2 linked regions of the Drosophila melanogaster genome follow. The protein of the gene in region 1 purifies or fractionates together with the protein of each later gene. This does not show direct contact. Each region holds a gene or a part of one and is shown on either strand. Other genes may lie near its edges.

Evidence for each region.
Region 2: the proteins of betaTub97EF (region 1) and Vhl purify together in Drosophila melanogaster (affinity purification with western blotting, with the first as the bait; one study listed by BioGRID). This does not show direct contact.

The regions. Positions count from the first base shown.
Region 1 is NT_033777.3:27,985,028-27,990,230, forward strand, and holds the start of betaTub97EF (beta-Tubulin at 97EF), read right to left. Parts: upstream 3,358-5,203; 5' UTR 3,129-3,357; coding exon 3,072-3,128; intron 1-3,071. Other genes in the region: CG4815 (uncharacterized protein), read right to left, coding at 4,739-5,203.
Region 2 is NT_033778.4:11,277,480-11,281,946, reverse strand, and holds Vhl (von Hippel-Lindau), read right to left. Parts: upstream 2,223-4,467; 5' UTR 2,070-2,222; coding exon 1,533-2,069; 3' UTR 914-1,532; downstream 1-913. Other genes in the region: CG9062 (uncharacterized protein), read left to right, coding at 57-252, 315-509, 568-673, 797-840; CG9067 (uncharacterized protein), read left to right, coding at 2,352-2,384, 2,439-2,608, 2,669-2,756, 2,822-2,901, 2,966-3,011; Cpr47Eg (cuticular protein 47Eg), read left to right, coding at 3,541-3,552, 3,621-3,962. UniProt on the Drosophila melanogaster protein: Involved in development of tracheal vasculature. Probably involved in halting cell migration at the end of vascular tube outgrowth.

The DNA of each region.
Region 1 (5,203 bases):
GATATCGAAAACCCAGTCGACTGAAAGTGGAAATACAATTGGCAAGTGGAGTATAATACACCAACATTTGATCCAACTGAATGGAAGATGCCAACTAAGTTAACGATGGCTTGTTTATCCTGGCCCACCCATCAGCATCGGAATATGTATATGCAATGCCGCTTGAAAATTGCATTTGCATACGAGCGATGGCATTACCTATGACGTGGCAAGCCGTAATGCCGGGCCATAATGTAATCCGACCGATTCCCCAGTTACCCGGCTCGATATCGGGTAACCATAAAGAAATTACGGCTGCCAGCGAGCGTCATCGATAATTCAATTTTGTGCATTATTTTGGCGCTGCTCGATGATGCCCTGCCATTATGGGCCAAACAAACGTATCCTGGGGCAGACTATATGGGTGTGCCACACTGCATGCCACACTGGCTAAAAGGAGCCGTTGCAGCCTGGCTTATTCCACTCTTTAATTTTATTGTCTGTTCTTGCTTGACTTTCTCCGCTTTCCCCTTTTGCTCCCATTTTCTACGTTCTGCTCGTCTATAAATTTCTCCGCCATGGTGGCACAACGCTTTTCCTTCGGCTTTATGCCGTGCCCGTAAATAGATTTTCCTTGTTATTGTTCACAAAATGATTTAGGGAAAATTAGGTTTATGTAAATAATGAAGAAAAAGAAAAACGAACTCTAGCTGCAGGCCAAAATATCCTTGGATAGATGCCTTTGCCTCGCTCGATACATACATACATACATATGTGATCAATTTCGTGGTGTTGGCAGAGGAAGGCCGGAAGACGTTTTCGACGGCATTTTGCCATATTTAATCGAAGCCAAGAGAATGGCTTAAATTGCTGTCTGCCTTAAAATCGAATTGAACTTAACGTGATTCAATGAAAACATTATGTTTACAAAACATGCGTACGCTGCCGGGATTTCAATTGTTAAGCTCTGTTTTTATAATTACAATCCATTCTGTTTGCAGCCCGTTCATGTGTGAATAAGCTCTGCTCTTAATGTGTAATCAATCTGTTAAGTTTTTTTTTTTTATTTGCTTATTGGCCTTTATCAGCGGAGCAATTAGTTTTGAAAATTTATTTAAAAATCACATTCACCATTTACGCCATTCACCATTGTGCAAACTATTTTGCCACGTAGGCAGTTTTGCACATTTATTATTTGTTTATTCTAGGCTGCAACAATATTTCATACTGACAGCCAATTAATCAGAAAAGGACATTCAATTAAGGCACAAAATCGGGCAGTGTGCAAAAAAAAAAAAAAAAAAAAAAAACAACACAAGAGCATGAATAGGACATGCAACAAAATATGTTCGCCATTATTATATTCAAATTTAATGCACCAACAAACAGGCTTTATGCCATCTATAAAAATTCGATAAGCGCAAATTGCATAAATAATCGTATTTATTTTTTAACTGCACAATAGCTACACATAACAATGGCCGCAAAATATGGATGTAATAATGCTCTGATTCGGGGGCGTACAAAATCGGATGTTGGGCTTGGCTTATCCCGGAAAAGTGCGTTCTAATTAACTGCAAAAGGCAGTGGTGAAAACACGCAAAAAAGTACTTTAAAATATGTGGAAATGTGTTTGCATAAAACTCAAGAGGAAAAGCGCGCAATGCGAGCGCAAAGAGAAACGGTCAGAGAAAACTGCTCTGGGAAATGCCGGGAAAAAGACAAAAACATATAAAAAAAATAAGCATTATAAAAACAAAAACTGTGTCAAACGTCAACGACTTTTTGTAGCTGGATTTTCATGACGCAGCAAATTGTGCGAGTTAATGTTAATGCGCTGAATTAGCTTAGAATGGGCGCTGTTTTCATTTCCACTCCTCTAATTGCCCGCAAACATGCTGCCGCTTTTCTACTCAAAATACCAGAACACACTATGTAATTGCTATTTTCGGCGCAACCCATATCAGTTCTTACTTTTCGGGTATTTATGTTTAAAGTTGTGTAAACAAGCCCACTGATTAGAGGCCGCCGATAGTGAAAGCAGCGCACACATAAGCCCGCCACTTTGTCACAGTCAGCCATGAATCAGATACATATATCGGTTCAAGATACAGATACATTATTTACAAGCCCCTCTGTCGTAATTAGAAGTACCCACGAAACCTTCGACGAGTTCTTTATGACAGTAAGATCAGCCAACTGTGCGAGGGCAAACATCATAAAAGCCTGTGAAAAGTACTAGTTTACAGAACCAGTTAGTTGTGTTAATTGTCCAAAAGACGGAAGTTTCTGAGAAACCTTCGAGCCAGTTTCAAAATGCTACTAACAGGGCACTAAGCTGCCGCATTTTACTCTGAGTTCCCGCCAAAAATACTTGGTTCACAGATCGGATTTCTTGAAACGAGAAACCTCCAGGTACACTGAAAAAAAAATATCAACTTCTATTCTATAATAACAAATGAATAAAAAGGATCTGTAATTCAATTTTAAATCATAATTGTGTTTAAATGGAAACTACTTTATAACGATTAAATAATCATATAAAGTTTATTTATCTTTTTAAAGGTACTACTTTTTTTCTTGCTGTGCAGATTTGCATAGCCGGCTGATCACAAGCTCTCAACTGAGCGGCGATCTAATTGTTTACACCTGACTGAGGTGATTTTGCTTAGTTTGCGAGCGGATTTCTGGGTTTAATTCACTGCGATATGCTGCGAGTCCAAGGTAATTTAAATGCGATACTTTAAGGTTGCTGATATTCGTATCTTGCGAGCGATAAGATAAGTGCCAAGTACGTTAGGTTTCTTCAATGTTTTGCAGTTTTATAGTTTCCCGAACTGGCAAAATAATCTATGCCACCCCCCACCAACCCCCCACCCATTTTAATTGCTGGCCACTAAAAACAAAACGTGAAAAGCCAAGAGAGAGAGAGAGAGAGAGAAAGTCGCAGTGAGAGAGGCAAAGAGCGCTCTTTCTTCATTTCCCCCTGTTTTATAATTAAACATGTGAGGTTAGGATAGTAGCGAAAAGTAGCTATAAAATAGAGCAAAGGTCTGTGATGCGAACACCGATGGAATATCAATTATACGCACCTTCGAACCGATCTGATTGCCGCACTGGCCCGCCTGCAGATGCACAATTTCCCTCATTTCGCAAATGAACTAGTAACTTTTGGCAGCCAAACTTAACTCAATTGAACACACTGACGCACACACGCACTATCAGCAATTATCAGCCACTATATCAATCTGAATCTGAATCCGAATCTGAGTCACAATCGGTCACGCATTCGGTTGAATCCGGTGAAGAGTCGGAGGAGAGCTTTTCGTGAGCAGAACGATCGACACGCGTTCGCTTTGAGAATCCAACGTGAACTGAATGAATGGCGAGAAACCGAACGCGACCCGCTGGGGAATTTGTGCTCTACGGTTAAAGGGGGCCGCATTAGTTTTCCACTCGGAAAAATATTTATAAAAAAATGCCTTTACAAATTGGCATGATAAGAAATGATAAAATTATGGTTTGCAATCTTAGATTAATATATTGTAGATAGTTTTGGTGATGTATTGAATTTAGTATAACAATTTTTCATATCAAACAGATGATCAGAGATCAGAGTTCTAAAAATACAAAAGTTTTTACAAAGAAACTTTTGTTACTCTTAAAAATTATAAATATTATAGTTGTAATAACGTGCTGCTGTTATCTTGGGCACAGCTGTATATACATTTTTAGAGTCCCTATAAAACAGGTTTATTTTATTAAACAGGTTATTATTTTTTTTTTACAGGTGGAACATTTCATTAATACATGACCCAAATTACATCAATACTTTAGATAAAGATTATTAATTAGAACGTTGGTTATGTTTAAAACAATGCCTCTTAAATGATGAACAATAAAAACAAATTTCATTCGAAAACCTATGAATACCCGAACCATTTATTCATGCTAAGTTCCTCTTCATTAGTGAGTATATTTATTTGAATCACTATCCAAAATTGCGGCAATATCTTCCCTGATTTCTCGAAGTGCAGAGAGCGCGAAGAGCAGAGGTCGTAAATACATTAGTTTAAGTGAAACTGTGGGACAAAACAAGATATTTTCCATAGCAGCGTGTTTGTCTTCCCGCTTTTCCCGACTTTTCCCCTTTATCGTATGATTTTTACCGGCTAGGCGCCAACAATGCAATTCTTTCTCTCCCATCTTACGCTTCGCTGAGCTGGTGAGAATTCTTAGGGAAAAGATAGAGAGAGGGGAGAGAAAGAAGAGAGTCGAAGAATGAGGTAACAGCACGTGAGTCTAAGGTGCAAAGAGCGCCACATTCTACATTCTACAACTGCATTCTTCAATCAGATTTGTAGAATTGTACATGGACGTACAAGATTGAAATGTAGCCAAATGTAAAAATGTAATTGAAATATATAAAGTTAGTTGTTTGAGTATTGAACATATATTTTATTATATGCTATTTAATCAGTATATTTTTGTTTTCCAATTACAACCTTGTAAATCATAGAATCGTAGCTTGAACAAACCAAACTTATCTACATGAATAATTGGAAGCGGTTTAGTTAGTCATTTTAGACATCTAGGTTATCAGCTTCATGAGATTGACAATAAAAAACGCTGCTGAAATGGAATAACATGAAGTCTGTCGAGTCACACACACTTAATACCAGTTTAAAATTTAATTTATGACTAAGTTGTAAACTTAGATAGACAGTATTTTTATTTTGTGATACTCAAATAAATTTCTTCAAAAGCCCATTCTGTTAATAGTTCTTTTAATAAACTTGGCGTAGTATCGCACACCCATGTATACGTCTGGCTTTTCGTTGTTGCCGCATTTGAAAGTCCACGTGTTGATGCCACAAACTTGCCGCCCCAACAGAAGTGGTCCACCGGAGTCGCCGAAGCAGAGAGTCTTGTTGTTGTAGGCACCGGCACAGATGATATTGGGTGGCATCTTGCGATCCAGCTGCTTCTCGCAATCTCGTTTACTCACAATACCAACTTTCATCGAGCGAAATGTTTTCTTCCTGGACTCATCCCAAACGCCGCCTTCGAATCCCCAACCGGCTGCAATGAGTTTATCCCTTGGATGCAGTACCGATCGACAGAGCTGGGCGTAGCCGATGTACTTGCTCCTCAAGGGATACTTGGTCTTCGCCACCGCGACATCCGCGATGAATTTCATTTTCGCATATTTCGGATGAATTTG
Region 2 (4,467 bases), on another chromosome or scaffold:
ATATAACCTTATCTGCACCATAACTAATTTCTCAAATTTCTGGCTAAATTAAACAGTGAAGTGGGTGGCCGCACTGTTTGCCGACTTTTGGTACGCGACGCAGCTGGCGATAGCGAAAGTACCCTGCTCCACGAAACGGCGCCTCAGTGGGTGACCGACGTGGTGATCGAGAAGAACATTCCCAAGTTCCTCAAAATACCGTTCTTCCTGCAGCCTCACCCGCAAATGACCAAGCCTGAACGAACGAAGAAGGTAGCCGTCCTTGACAGCAAACAAAACTCATGTTCTAACGCAATTTATATTAAATTTTTTAGGATCGTCTTGTGGCTAATGAATTTATTCAGTGTCGCAAGGTCTGCGAGCACGTGCTTGAAAAGGTGCTGAATGCGGAAACTACCCCAAGTGGGGGCAATGCTAACAATTCACTGCAGAATAGCCAGAGCGATGCTAATTCGGAGGGATCCCAACTGCCAGCTGAGGAACGAATTGAACTGTGGTGTAACGATGTGGTAAGACAAATGGACAAATCTCATTTAAAGGACCTTGTTCACCGCCTTTCCTTTAAAGGTTGTGGACCCCAACATGGACCTGCGCACGGTGCGCCACTTTATCTGGAAGCAGTCGACCGATCTAACGTTTCAGTACAAGACCAAACAGAATTTCAACTACGATGGTAAATAAGAGAGCCCACGCATTGAACAACACAAGAACACCTATCACAAACACAACGCATACTTGATTTCTGCAATTGCTATTGCCTAACCGAGAGTTGTGCTTATATATATCCGCCCCATAGGTTCGATCGGGGATAGCTTGGAGCGCGTGACGCGCAAGTATTGAACGCTGGCAAGTGATCTCCCGCCTAACCGAAGCAGTACCGATGCATTATTGAATGAGAACGAGATTGAGCAGATCGATTAACAATTTATATTTTTATAAGTTGATTTTGCAATATATTTGAGTTAACCTGCGATTCGTCTCATCTCTTCTCGACTCGACTCGTGGACAAACACAAACACATTCAAGGAGAATCTGTACGAGCGTTAACTTTAAATTTAAAAGTGCACCGGAGTACTTTTGTTTGTTCACTTCTCGTTAGGAATAAATATGTACTTCAGATTCAGACTTATAACAATTAGGCTTGCGACACACGTAGATAAGCATTGCAAAGGAGTAACTGCAGACATACCATTAAATCGTATTTGCATCTGAAGCAACTAGACCTAGAGTATTGCGCATATATGTATGTATGTAATATTCACACTTGTTTCACATTAGGTTTATACATAATTATTTACATAGAACATACATAGGTATAAGAAATCTGTTAAATATACAGAAAAATCAATGCAATGGTAGTAGCCCAACTTGTAAAGAGCTCTATGCAAGCCAATTTGTACATAAGTAATAAGCGAAAATCGAAAACCAGGATGGAAATCAATTAAAGTTATTAAATTATTTGGAAATCAAGCCTGTCTCTCAGTCCCTAAGATGATTACCCGCCCTCTTAACTAACAACTAGGAGTGTGCTCCTAACGCCGACGTCGCGTGCCCGCCACTCGGGAATAGGACTCGATGCAGGTCAGCAGGCTGAGCAGCTGTTGCTTCAGCGTCGAGGGTATGTGGTATCCGTGGATAATCCTCCGTGGCGCGTTGCTCGTCCGGATCAGCCAGCGGGCGACCAGCCAGAGGCAGTTTTCGCGCAGCGATCTCATCGGAAAGTGGATCAGCACTTCGCTGCGTACGTCAACCAGCTGATCCGGACTCTGCTGGCTCTTGGGTACCCGCACCCGAATCGGCTGAAAGATCCTCTGCGAGCGTACGTGCATCCGTTCGCCCGTGTAGTAATCCCGGAACAGCCAGCTGTGTGTGGTGAACGTGTTCACCCGCACCTCCTCGAAGGGCTTGAGGGTAAGGTACATGTTCTCCCGCTCCCGCTCGCACACCCAGTACAGATCCAGGGTGCGATAGGTGGTGTTTGCAAACAGCACGTACACCTCCACCTTTCCCTGATCAGCGCCCACCAGCTGCTGGCCGTCGCGGTTGTTCTGCGCTATTTGGAGCGCCATCTCCAGCAGGGTGCTAAGCCGATCTGCAATGGCTGCCAAATCAATTTTCGTTGTTTTACGTTTGCACAAGCCGTGGGAATTGGATTGAATCAAATCACAACAAGCTAACAACAAGTATAGATAAAATTCACTTCTTATCAGTTACGGTAACATTTTTCCTGCTGCGTGTCACTGCAGCTGGCCACACTTTCGATGAATGTCTTATCGATAAGGGGTAAATCAGCTGATTTGCCTCCGCCTCTCGCGAAAAGTAAACAAATAAACACCAAGAAATAACAAAATATGGCATTTTGCATAGCAGTTATTGGCAAGGATGTGAGTTTTATTTTTCATTTGAATACAATTAATTGCATGACAAATTCCCCACAGAACGCCCCCCTGTACCTGACCACATCCGATATGGAGCAGGAACTGGAATTGCAATATCATGTTAACGCCGCCTTAGACGTCGTGGAGGAGAAGTGCCTGATTGGCAAGGGTGCTCCGGAGTCCAAGGAGCTGTACCTGGGACTGCTCTACTCGACAGAGAACCACAAAATGTACTTGGGTGTAGTTATGCTGGTGAATTTGCAACTGATTGGTGGTTGATTTCATTACAGATACGGCTTTGTGACCAACACTCGGGTGAAATTCATAGTGGTCATCGACTCCAGCAACGTTGCCCTTCGGGAAAACGAAGTTCGAGCAGTGGGTATCCAATCTAACTATCTAAATGAAAGCCCCAAATACCTCCTACCCTCTGTATCTTCCAGATCTTCCGAAATCTCCACTTGCTCTACACCGATGCCATCTGCAATCCCTTTTACATTCCCGGCGAATCGCTGACTTCAAAGTAAGCGGGCTTCTCCTTAAAGAATATATAAGTTGCTCTTAATACGTTACTTTTATATCTGCAGGAAGTTCGATCGCGCTGTCCAGAAACTGATGAGCGGCACTGCCTAGCTGTAGATTAATACTGAACGAATAATAAAGCGAATTATTTATCAAATGCATACGTCTTTCTAGGAGGGATGTCAAGGTGGCCTGGCCAAGTGCCCGCTCCAAGCTAGACTCAAGAGAGATACGCACCGGAGATACGCAAACCGGTCGTTGGCTGGCTAGCCGTAGCCAAATATTATGCTAATTCGACATTTTTGACAAAAATAATTCGAGAATTAATTATATCTTTACAATGTGTCTGCTAGTTGACACATAGTTAGTTAATGTCTCCGCGTCAAACTCGTCTTCCGTCTGTTTCGGGCATTATTATGGGATTCAATGCGAACTTTAACTGAACGGCAATAACGAGGCACACATAAACATGTATTTTGTCTTATCTAATGCATAATTAATGAAATCAAATCCTACGCGTCTCTAGACTTGAACTTGGGCGCCACCGGCAGAGGTAAGCTGAGCATCAGTATCATATAAAAAGCAGGCAGAAGTTCCAGTTCGATATCAGTTAGCCTTCTCAAGTCTTTCAACAATCAACATGAAGTTCTTCGTAAGTGGCTTTATCGCAAATTGATCCTTTAATGATTCTAGCTGATTTGTTATTTACAATCCTTGTAGATTGCTTTCGCCTGCCTGTTGGCCGTCGCCCTCGCCAACGAAGATGCCAATGTTCTCCGTGCCGAGCAGCAAGTGAATGTTGACGGCTTTGCTTACGCTGTTGAGCTGGACAACTCTGTCAATGTGCAACAGAAGGGTGACCTTAACGGCGAAGAGTGGGTGGTGAAGGGAAGCCAGTCGTGGACATCTCCCGAAAATGTGCCAGTGTCCATCCAATATATCGCCGATGCCAACGGTTACCAGGTGGTGTCTGCCAACCCTCCTCTGCCCACCCCACCACCAATTCCAGAGGCCATCCAGCGTTCTCTGGAGTACATCGCCGCCCACCCCCCAAGTCAATAAATAATGTTAAATAAATGTGTTGAACTTTACTTTCCTAGACTTTTAATTTCTTCCCAAAAGGACTGTCGCTTCTTAAACCGAGTAGACAAACATATATACGCATCGTATTAGCGGACAGAAACTTGTTGGTCAGGGTCTACCAGACGGATGAATTATATTAGTACGTAATATGTATGGGTCTGACAGATGAACATTGTACCCAAACGCCATGCTGCCCCTGAACTCGGGGTCGTTCAGTTTTCACTTTCGATTTAGGATCACTTAGGAGCTGTTACTTTAGGATCACTGTTACGTAATCACGTTTTTTACCGGTTTTTAAACCATATCCATATACACCGGACCTGGTTTTGCGGTTTTGAAATAGAAGTAGACTAGTTCCCATTGCATATTTCAGAATAAGAAATTCCATATATTAGACTTTATTCTATGCAGATCATATCAAAATAATGAAAAGGGGTATAGTTATTTTTTTTCTGTTTGAAGACATTTAGCAATCCCTATCTAG